Nothobranchius furzeri: one gene and its partners. The protein of the gene in region 1 purifies or fractionates together with the protein of each later gene. This does not show direct contact. Links are inferred from orthologs where the notes say so. Each region holds a gene or a part of one and is shown in the gene's direction. Other genes may lie near its edges. The genes, in order: sugt1, rnf41 and nod1.

Region 1 (2,843 bases):
TGAACTCTGACTGTTTAAAATTGTGCCGCTCAATATTGATTAAATTAAAAACATCTTTATAATGTGCTGTAGTATTTGTAAACATAACAGGAAATGACATCATACCATCCGACCATTCAAAGGTGTTTTTTAGACCGATTGATCAAGATGGGACACCTGAATGTTTCTCCTCACAAAAGCACTGCTAGAACATTGAACACTGGTTATATTGGCTGTAACAGCCATGAAAATATAAACGATTAGACGATGAGATGCGCAGCGCTCTGATCCGTGAGCTCCAGCAGTCATCTGCTAGCTGCTAACAACACCGTAAGACTTTCATAACCAGGGAAATCCCTGGTGTGTCAAATGTCACATCTACCGCTTTTCTCACAGCCACGGACATTTTTTCCCTTTAAACACAATTTTTATAGGCATAAACATCAGTATATGATGTCTGGTTAGCGGTAGCTTGTTCAAACAGCGGCCAGCCCCGGACTCTTGATTGTTTTTTTCTCGCCTAGTCCCGCCTGTTCAATTTGCTTGATGTATTTTAACCCCCACCCTCCCATTTTGTCCATTTTATGAATGGATTTTTGTTTCTGTCATTTTTTGTTGTCGTCTCTTATTCGTCATCAAAAAGTACAACGACAGAACCCCAGCTTTGATGAGACTGGTGTTGACTCAGGTTTGTGAGTCTTATTTGACAATATTTGTTGTGCTGCTGGTTTGCCTAAAGTTAGCTTACTATCAGGTAAAGTTGTTGGAGAAAGAAAGGGAATATTTATTATCATCTCACACTAAACACTAACAGGAACAATACTCTGCCCTGAATATGCTTCATATGTAGCTTCAGATTAAAAATTATGTGGTACAAGACATATATGATGTTGTTGACTAGTGCGTGTCACATGTGTGTGTGTGTGTGTGTGTGTGTTAAGCCCGGGATCTTCTTCAGTCCTAAATCCGCCCCTGCCAGGGACAACCCTCTTCACCAACTGTATTGCATTACCATTTTCCCCTGTTACCATTTACAAACAAGCTTTCATGTTTCTGCTAGAATAACAGCTAAATTCCTAAAAAATACCGTTGCACATGTTGAAATAAAACTGGAGTTTGGAGCCGTGTTAAGATCACAGACTAGCAAATGCTTGTCTTTCTAATAGGATATGAACTCTCATCAGGAAGAAGCCTCGTAACGGTTAGATGGTCTTTTTAACAGAAACACACCCAACCTTTAATAGGAGGAGACATCATTGCAAACAGGTCTCTAGGCTGTGAGGGTTGAGAGAGAGAGAGAGAGAGAGAGAGAGAGAGAGAGAGAGAGAGAGAGAGAGAGAGAGAGAGAGAGAGAGAGAGAGAGAGAGAGAGAGAGAGAGAGAGAGAGAGAGAGAGAGAGAGAGAGAGAGAGAGAGAGAGAGAGAGAGAGAGAGAGAGAGAGAGAGAGAGAGAGAGAGAGAGAGAGAGAGAGAGAGAGAGAGAGAGAGAGAGAGAGAGAGAGAGAGAGAGAGAGAGAGAGAGAGAGAGAGAGAGAGAGAGAGAGAGAGAGAGAGAGAGAGAGAGAGAGAGAGAGAGAGAGAGAGAGAGAGAGAGAGAGAGAGAGAGAGAGAGAGAGAGAGAGAGAGAGAGAGAGAGAGAGAGAGAGAGAGAGAGAGATTCCTTCATGTATTTTCCCTCCCTTTACAGATGGAGTCTGGTGGTACGGTTCTCAGCACCAACTGGGGCGATGTGGGCCGGAGAACGGTGGAGGTCAGTCCTCCAGATGATGCAGAGTTCAAGAAGTACTGAGCACCTCTCTTCCTCCTCCTGTTTGTTTCTTCCTCCCCTTTTTAAAATCATGCGATGACCCCGCTGAGTTCCCTGGGAGCTGCAGTCGGCCTGGCGGTCCTCTTCTCCTTGTTGTGATGGCATTCAGAAGCCATTCTACCAGCGCACACCTGGCCTACTCTCCTCTAGAAGTCATCACCAGAGGGGTCAGTTTTAGATCATCTCTTGAACTAATTGATCTGGTTTAAAGGCCAATGCATCCAAAAGGGAGGTAACATGACCAACAGACCTGAAAAGCCTCCATCCAACCTGCAGACGAATAATCTTTGTTCGTTTTTGTCCTTCAAACAGCAACATGTGAAGCCTTTCATCATTTTTCATAATCAGCCCGTTGTAAAAATGTAAAGTTGCTCAGAAGAAGGAACGCAACAATTTTTCTGTAAACAGCGGGACTTAGAAACCTTCTGCTCTGGCTACCTGTCATTTTCACTTGTGACGTTAACTCCACTGTAAATAAAAGATTTGGTTCTAAAACGGCGCCCTGTGTGTTGTGGTTTGTTGTGTCTGGGGACGGTTTTGGAAGTCTCCAAACAAGATGGCTCAGACACAAGCGGGGCTGCATTAATACGGGGAGCTGTGATTATGACCCGGGAGCCATAGAATGTGCCTTCACTGATAGGGGAGCAGGAGGCTGATGCGGCCGACAGCTGGAGGAAATGGTTTACTTATTGCTTGGTGATCGGTATCGAGAGGAAGGGCCCTGGAGATGTTTGGCCAGCTGTAGAGGGGAGTAGTGATGATCTACAGCTGATGTGGAGCCACCCTATTCTCCTGACACACACACACACACACTGTACACGAGGCAGCTGTAAGTGTGAGGGGGTGTCCTGCAGAGGCAAGAGAGCATTAATATGGATCAGCCTCCCTAACCACATCATCAAGCCTCTCACACTGAGTTAAGTGTTAAATTCATCACACACCGTTTCATCTCTGCTGATGATCAAACACTCATTTGGGTCTCTGGATGGAGCTCTTAGCTCCGTGACACGTCCACACACACACCCACACCCCGTCAGCATCCCTGACACACACAAACA
Region 2 (4,353 bases), on another chromosome or scaffold:
CATCACTTTGTGTCACATGGATTCTAAAAGGCGTAAATGAGTCAGGTAGACCTTTTAAAACCATTGCTATTAGCAGTCCATCGCTCAAAGTTTCACCTGCGGTTCTCAGCGCTGTAATGGCGGCCTCGGCTCTCAAAACATAATCCGTTACACTCTCGCCGCTCTTCTGCTGTAATGCAGTCAGTTCTGTATATAAGCTTATTATGCGGGGTTTTCCCTTCCCGGCATAGTGTTCTCTCAAGATAATTAGAGCTTTCCGCCCGTCGTCAGCTGCGTCTCTCATCACCAGTGAAAGGCTCTTATCATCCAGGAATTGTATAAGTTCGGCATATGCCTCTGCGTTCTTTGAATCATATTCCTCATCATCGTCATCGTCTTTCGGTTTTAATATAATGTCTTTCAAACCTTGTAGCCGGAGGTGTCCGAGAAACTTTGTTTCCCACAGTTCATATTTATCCTCGTCTCCGTCAAATACCAGTCTTGACCAGCGGGTACTGGCTTCCACTGTCTTCCGACTCATAGTGTCCGACACACGTCGTAGCTCTCACTCGACTCACCGGACTTGCTGTTGGTCGGTTCTGTGCTCCTCACACGCTAGCAGGATGCTTTCCCAGCTGTCCTGATTAGCTTGGTGCGCAGCGGAAGCGTGCTGGGCCCATAACCTGTTAGCAGAGTTTCGTTTACCCAGCGGTTGGTCCAAGACTCCAAAATGAATCTCCAGGATTAAAAAAAGGAGGAAATAAATCCATAAACAGAGCGTCTGTTTCACGGGCCTTCACTGGTGGTAGCACACACTGATTGCGGCCACTAAAACACCAATGCTCCCTTTTATTGGTCAATTTACGAGGTCAAAGTTTAACTTCCTCTACAGGTACTTTTCAGTATAAAAGCATACATGTATATACACACACACACATTCTTATTTACAAATTTACACAGATGCATAACATAACAGAGCATAACAGAGCACATTAGACTGATGCTTAACAATTATTTCACAAAATTGATCCATTTGAGGCTTTTTTATTGGATGAAATCATAATGGAGGAAATGTATTGTCTGAGCTCTTGAAAACAAACAAACTTTTCAACATGGCATTTAGCTTACATTATTATAATATTAATGTGTTTTTTTAATCTCAATGTCATTTCTGAGGAACCCAAATAACACATTTCTCCATTATAACTTGAAGTCCGGATTAATGTTTATACAATTATTTACCCAAAACTGATTAACAAACAGACAATTAAAAAAAGAATGTACAAAGAAACAGCAGTCCGTTATGAAAGTTTTAACCGGATAAGGACATTTTCGACAGTGTTAGTGATTAACATTGTTTCGGTAAGAGAGACATTTTTCATTATAAAATTCACTTTTGGGATTTCTGCAGTTTTGCGTGATGACGTTTCCCCTCGTGTCGATTGAGACGTAGACTTGTATGACGTAGCACCAAGACGTGATTAGCAAGGGGCTAGTGTTGGTACGACGTCTGAAAACAGCCTGAATTGTGAAAAGGATCTATTTTACTCAATGTCTGAGTAAGTATATCAGTCAGCTGTTATATCTTGAGCAGTGCAGCTGACTGTAAACAGCTATTGGTGTGTGAAGTTGTCTCTAACGGAGGTCAGTCTGGTTAGCTTATAGCTAATGTCCAAAGGAAACCAACGACAGCGTAGCCGCTAGCTGGGCTAGCTAACGTTACATATTCAGAAATCGTGACAGTCAAACTGTGCTGCTGTACTTTGTAAACCATTAAGATATTTTTCTCTTTGACGCATGTTTACGTTATTAAAAATCAAGTTTTTACGATTTAGTTTAAAGTGTTATTATATGCGTGAAGATAACATTGAGAAACCTCGATGCTCAGCTAAGTTTTGTGCTCCTTGCTCTGAAATATGATGGAAACATGTTGATCTCAAAGCTGTTTCTTTTCATTTTTTGGAATCATTCATTTGTTAACCAGGACAGTAGATAAATATGTTTATTGTAAAATCACGTTGAAAAGTCAGCCTGAGGATGTGAATATGTATGAAAATGGCTACGCTCAATTTAAAGTTCAAATTCTTTATCCTCCAAAAAAACTGTCGGTATGGTAAATTTTTTTAGAAAGTACTTAATCTCAGATTTCAGCTAGTTAAACTCATTTGAGTACATTGTGTATACGTGATATGGGATTTAATGTTCTTGCATATGTGGTTTACAATCATCAGACTAAAAGTTTTTTTTTAAATGCAATAATTTTTTCCTTTTTATTCAGGCAGGGTCTGTGTCTTTTTAGGCAGGCAGAGCATTTCTGCCAGATGTGAGGAATCGAGGAGCTGAATGGAAATATTTGAGGCAGTTTGTGTTTGAGGTAAACAAGATGTTCTAACCAGAACTGTAAATTATTATTTTGACAAAATGTCAATCATTTTTTGATAGTAATTATTCATAGATAGTGTAAAAAACCCTTCTCATCTTAGTTTTAGCCAGGTTTGTTTCACAGTACTGGTATTTAGTAGCGTAGCAAGTGTATAAATGTAAATGTAAAAAAACAACCACACACACATATATACAAACAGTGAGCTAAAGAATTAGTTACTGTACTATATTACATTATCTTTCTGAGCACTCCTTTTCTATGGCCGTCTCCAAGTTTAGGTCCTTCACCACCACCCTTACCCATGGTGTCCCACAAGGTTCTCTGCTCTTCCTCCTCTATCTGCTTCCTCTTCAGCACATCCTGAGCTCCTTCAAAGGAATATCCTACCATCTTTATGCAGATGACATCCAACTGTACATCTCCTTTAAGCCCCATGAGATGTCTAAGCTGCAGCTGTTACACACCTGCTTAGACTCTATCAAAACCTGGATGGCTGGGAGCTTTCTTCAGCTGAATGAAGATAAGACTGAGATCCTCATCTGTGCCCCAGACAAGCTGGTTCCCAAAGTCAGAGACTCTCTTGGTCAGCTTGCTTCCCACACCAAACCTTCTGTCAGGAATCTTGGCGTGACCTTTGACCCAGCTCTCACCCTGGATTCTCATGTCATTTCTCTTGTTTGCTCTTCCTTCTTCCATCTCAGGAACGTTGCTAAGCTGAGTCCCATTCTGTCCCGCTCTGAACTTGAGACAGTTCTCCACTCCTTCATCTCCTCATGCTTAGACTACTGTAACTCTCTTTTCACGTGTCTGAGCAGAACCTCCCTGAACCGTCTACAGGTGGTTCGGAATGCCTGTGCTCGGCTTCTGACCAAGTCCTCCAAACACACCCACATCACTCCGCTTCTCCTCCAGCTTCACTGGCTGCCAGTCAACTTCAGGGTTCATTTCAAGATCCTGGTTCTGGTCTATAGGGCCTTACATGGACAAGCACCATCTTACATTGGTGATCTTCTTAGTCCCTACACCCCCAGCAGGTCCCTGAGGTCCGGTGATCAAAGCCTACTGGTTGTGCAGCACCAGACTAAAGACCAAAGGTGACAGATCATTTGCTGCTGTGGCCCCCAGACTCTGGAACTCTCTCCCCCTGAGCCTGAGATCAGTGGACTCAGTGGTCTCCTTTAAAAAGCAGCTGAAGACTCACCTGTTCAAGCTGGCTTTTGTATGACCTTCTTCACCTCTCTCTTTTTGTTCTGCTCTCCCCACCTATTCCACCTTCCTCAGGATCCACTGATTTCCCTCTTTCCTGTTCACTCTCTCTCTTTCTTAACATTTTTTAATTACAATTGCCCATTTTTTTTGCTCATTTAAAATATATTTTTAACCATTTTCTAAATTCTTTTTTATATTTTTTCATTTTTTGTTTTTGTGAAGCGCCTCGTGATTTTTATCTTGAGAAGCGCTATCGAAATGATATTTTCTTCCTCTTCATAATAAACAACATGATGAAACATGTCACCTTCTTGTGTTGAAATCTGTGTAAAATACTTTCGGTTTGGGGGGGGGGGGTGAGATTAAATAATTCAGCATCTCAGAAGCCCTTTTACAATACACACCGCCTTAATCTTATAAAAAGGACACGATTGCACCACATTACCGCCACAGTCTGACCACTTATGAACAACCTAAGGCTCCCTGATGCTGCCACGGCATTGCGGCAAATTAATGGCATTGTTTTGTAAAAATGGCTAGAGTGATAATAGAAACATTTGCTCATCAGGTTGCAGTACAAGCATTGCCAAGTATCTCCATTTCTGCTTTCTGAAAGGCATCTGGGTCATCCATTACAATACGATTTGGGACAATCACATTCCTCCTTTACATTATTTTGTTGACAAAGAAATTTTTAATTACATTAAAACAGCTAATATACCTACTATGTGTAGGTGGTTTATATTTAATCTTTTTTAAATTGTGTTGTTCAGGAGGTTGTA
Region 3 (2,328 bases), on another chromosome or scaffold:
GGATCACCTGAAGGCGTATATGAGCCTGCACTTTAAGGAGCAGGAGCACCGGGAGCTGGTGTCGGTGCAGCTGGAGGCCAGCCCCCACCTCTGCGGCCTGTGCTCCACTCCGCTCTTCTGCTGGATTGTGTTCAAGAGCTTTACACACCTGCACACCGTGCACGATGGTTTCCATCTGCCGGACACCTGCGTCACGCTAACGGACATCTTCCTGCTGCTGTCTGAGGTGTTCCTCAGCCGCTTGGCCTCCCCCACGCCTTCTCTGCTGAAGAAAAGCTCTCGCTGCACCTCGGAGACCTTCCAAGCAGGCCTCAGGCCTCTGGCAGCGTTTGCCAAGCTGGCCCTGCAGGGTTTGGAGAGGGGGAGTTTCCTGTGCAGCCTAGAGGAGATCCGTGAGAGTGGTCTGACGGAGGAGGACATGGCCCTGGGTTTCCTCAGACCTGCCAGTGACTGTGACTCCAGTGGAGGTTCTGCTACCCTTGAGTTCCTCCACATCACCCTACAGGCGTTCCTGGCTGCACTAGCTCTGGTGTTGGATGAGCACGCCCCAGCCAGGTCCATCCTCAGGTTCTTCATCGAGTGCAGCAGGAGAAAACCGTCCTGTCTGCCGTTCACCCTCTGCAACGGCAGCTCTGTGAGTCTCGGCCAAAGGAAACCATTTGAGAAGAACGAGCACCTCCAGTTCGTGAATCTGTTTGTGTGTGGGCTGCTGTCGAAGGCTCTCGCGGGTCTGATGGGCCATCTGGTGTCTCCCGCCGTGTTAAAGAAGAAACGAGCCTTGTTGAAGTCTTACCTGTCCACTAGTGTCAAGTCTCACCTGCAGGGCTTGCCCACCTTTGAGGGAAACGAGGGCAAGAAGGTTCATGTTTTGCCCAACTTCCTGTGGATAATCAGGTGCATCTACGAGACGGGCAGCGAGCACATCGCCCGGACGACGGCTAAAGGCATCACAGCCAGCTTCATTAAGCTGGGCTACTGCAACGTGTACTCGGGGGACTGCACCGCCATAAACTTTGTTCTGCAGCACCGCCAGAAGCTGCTGGGCCTGGACATGGACAACAACAACATCGGTGACTACGGTGTCAATCAGCTCCGGCCATCCATTAGCAAGATGACCGTAGTCCGGTAAGAATGGCTTTCCATCAGTTCATTTATGGCTGGGTCTTTTATTGTGAAGGGGTTTTAAAGGAAGTGATGTTCCTGATGGGAGGAAGTGTTGCCATTCTAGTTTATAGGAGCTGAAACGTGAGTCAGGCACGTTTCTGCTGCAGCCGCCATGTTGGCATCAGCTGCTACGAGTGAGACGGGCCGTTCTCTGGCCAGAACGTCTTCCAGAACGAGGTTCTGTTTCAGAGCACCGACCCGCTCACTGGTGCTGCAGATGTTAGACCAGAGGTGCTGGTGGAGCCTTGGCTCCTGGCTGGGTGCTCCACCTCTATACGGGGACAGGCTGGGGTCCTGCAGGTGTGCTGAGACACCAGACAGCTCTGGATTATTTCAGCCCTAATCTGTGTTTGAATCGTAACCATAGCAACTCTCCTGGATCCAGATTGTGTGTGAACAACCTGTCAGACCGCAGCGTGGAGGTGCTGGCAGAGGAGCTGTGCAGGCACAGGGTCATCAGGGTCCTGGGGTGAGTGAACACGAGATGCACACTATCAGGTACACCTGCTCAGCTCCTTCCTCAGACATCTAATCAGCCAATCAGACGGCAGCATTTATCCATCTACAATCGATGAGGGAGAGAGGAGATTTAAGGGAGTTTGAGCGTGAGTGACATGGTTGTTGGTAACAATCTGGTCAACTGGGATTAGAACCCACAACCATCTCTAGGGTCAGAGCTCAGATCGGTTCTGTGACTGGGAACTGAACACAGACATGTACATGTAGACGCCCCATGGACCGGCAGGCCGCCATCTTAGATGGGTCTCCATTCACATTGCTGTGGAGAGTGAGACCTATCCAACATGGTGGCAACGCTGTTACGCTCTCCAGTGCCCAATGGGGCGTCTACATATCCATGTCTGGTTCTGAAGGTAAGGAGTACCTGTGAGGATTAGTAACTGTATCTGATTACTTTGGGAGGTAGCCAAAGCAGTGAAGGTGGTTTGTGTTGCAGGCTCTACAACAACAACATCAGTGACACTGGAGCTCAGCTGGTCGCTCGCGTCATTGAAGAGTGTCCCAGACTGGAGGTCCTCAAGTAAGTTCAGGCGTGGGGTCATGATGGCGACGGGATGTTTGTCTGACGCCGCTCTTCTCTCCTTCAGGATTGGTAAAAACAAAATCACGAGTGTTGGTGGGCGGTGCCTGGCTGCAGCCGTGCAG

Evidence for each region.
Region 2: the proteins of sugt1 (region 1) and rnf41 purify together in Homo sapiens (affinity purification with mass spectrometry; 3 studies listed by BioGRID and IntAct, with this or other methods). This does not show direct contact. The link is inferred for Nothobranchius furzeri from reciprocal best matches to the Homo sapiens genes SUGT1 and RNF41.
Region 3: the proteins of sugt1 (region 1) and nod1 purify together in Homo sapiens (affinity purification with western blotting; 3 studies listed by BioGRID and IntAct, with this or other methods). This does not show direct contact. The link is inferred for Nothobranchius furzeri from reciprocal best matches to the Homo sapiens genes SUGT1 and NOD1.

The regions. Positions count from the first base shown.
Region 1 is NC_091751.1:64,261,313-64,264,155, reverse strand, and holds the end of sugt1 (protein SGT1 homolog), read left to right. Parts: intron 1-1,665; coding exon 1,666-1,767; 3' UTR 1,768-2,284; downstream 2,285-2,843. UniProt on the Homo sapiens protein: May play a role in ubiquitination and subsequent proteasomal degradation of target proteins.
Region 2 is NC_091755.1:37,149,387-37,153,739, reverse strand, and holds the start of rnf41 (E3 ubiquitin-protein ligase NRDP1), read left to right. Parts: upstream 1-1,413; 5' UTR 1,414-1,538; intron 1,539-2,257; 5' UTR 2,258-2,353; intron 2,354-4,344; 5' UTR 4,345-4,353. Other genes in the region: uncharacterized protein, read right to left, coding at 1-520. UniProt on the Homo sapiens protein: Acts as E3 ubiquitin-protein ligase and regulates the degradation of target proteins. Polyubiquitinates MYD88. Negatively regulates MYD88-dependent production of pro-inflammatory cytokines.
Region 3 is NC_091745.1:81,042,942-81,045,269, forward strand, and holds part of nod1 (nucleotide-binding oligomerization domain-containing protein 1), read left to right. Parts: coding exon 1-1,125; intron 1,126-1,531; coding exon 1,532-1,633; intron 1,634-2,119; coding exon 2,120-2,203; intron 2,204-2,270; coding exon 2,271-2,328. UniProt on the Homo sapiens protein: Pattern recognition receptor (PRR) that detects bacterial peptidoglycan fragments and other danger signals and thus participates in both innate and adaptive immune responses.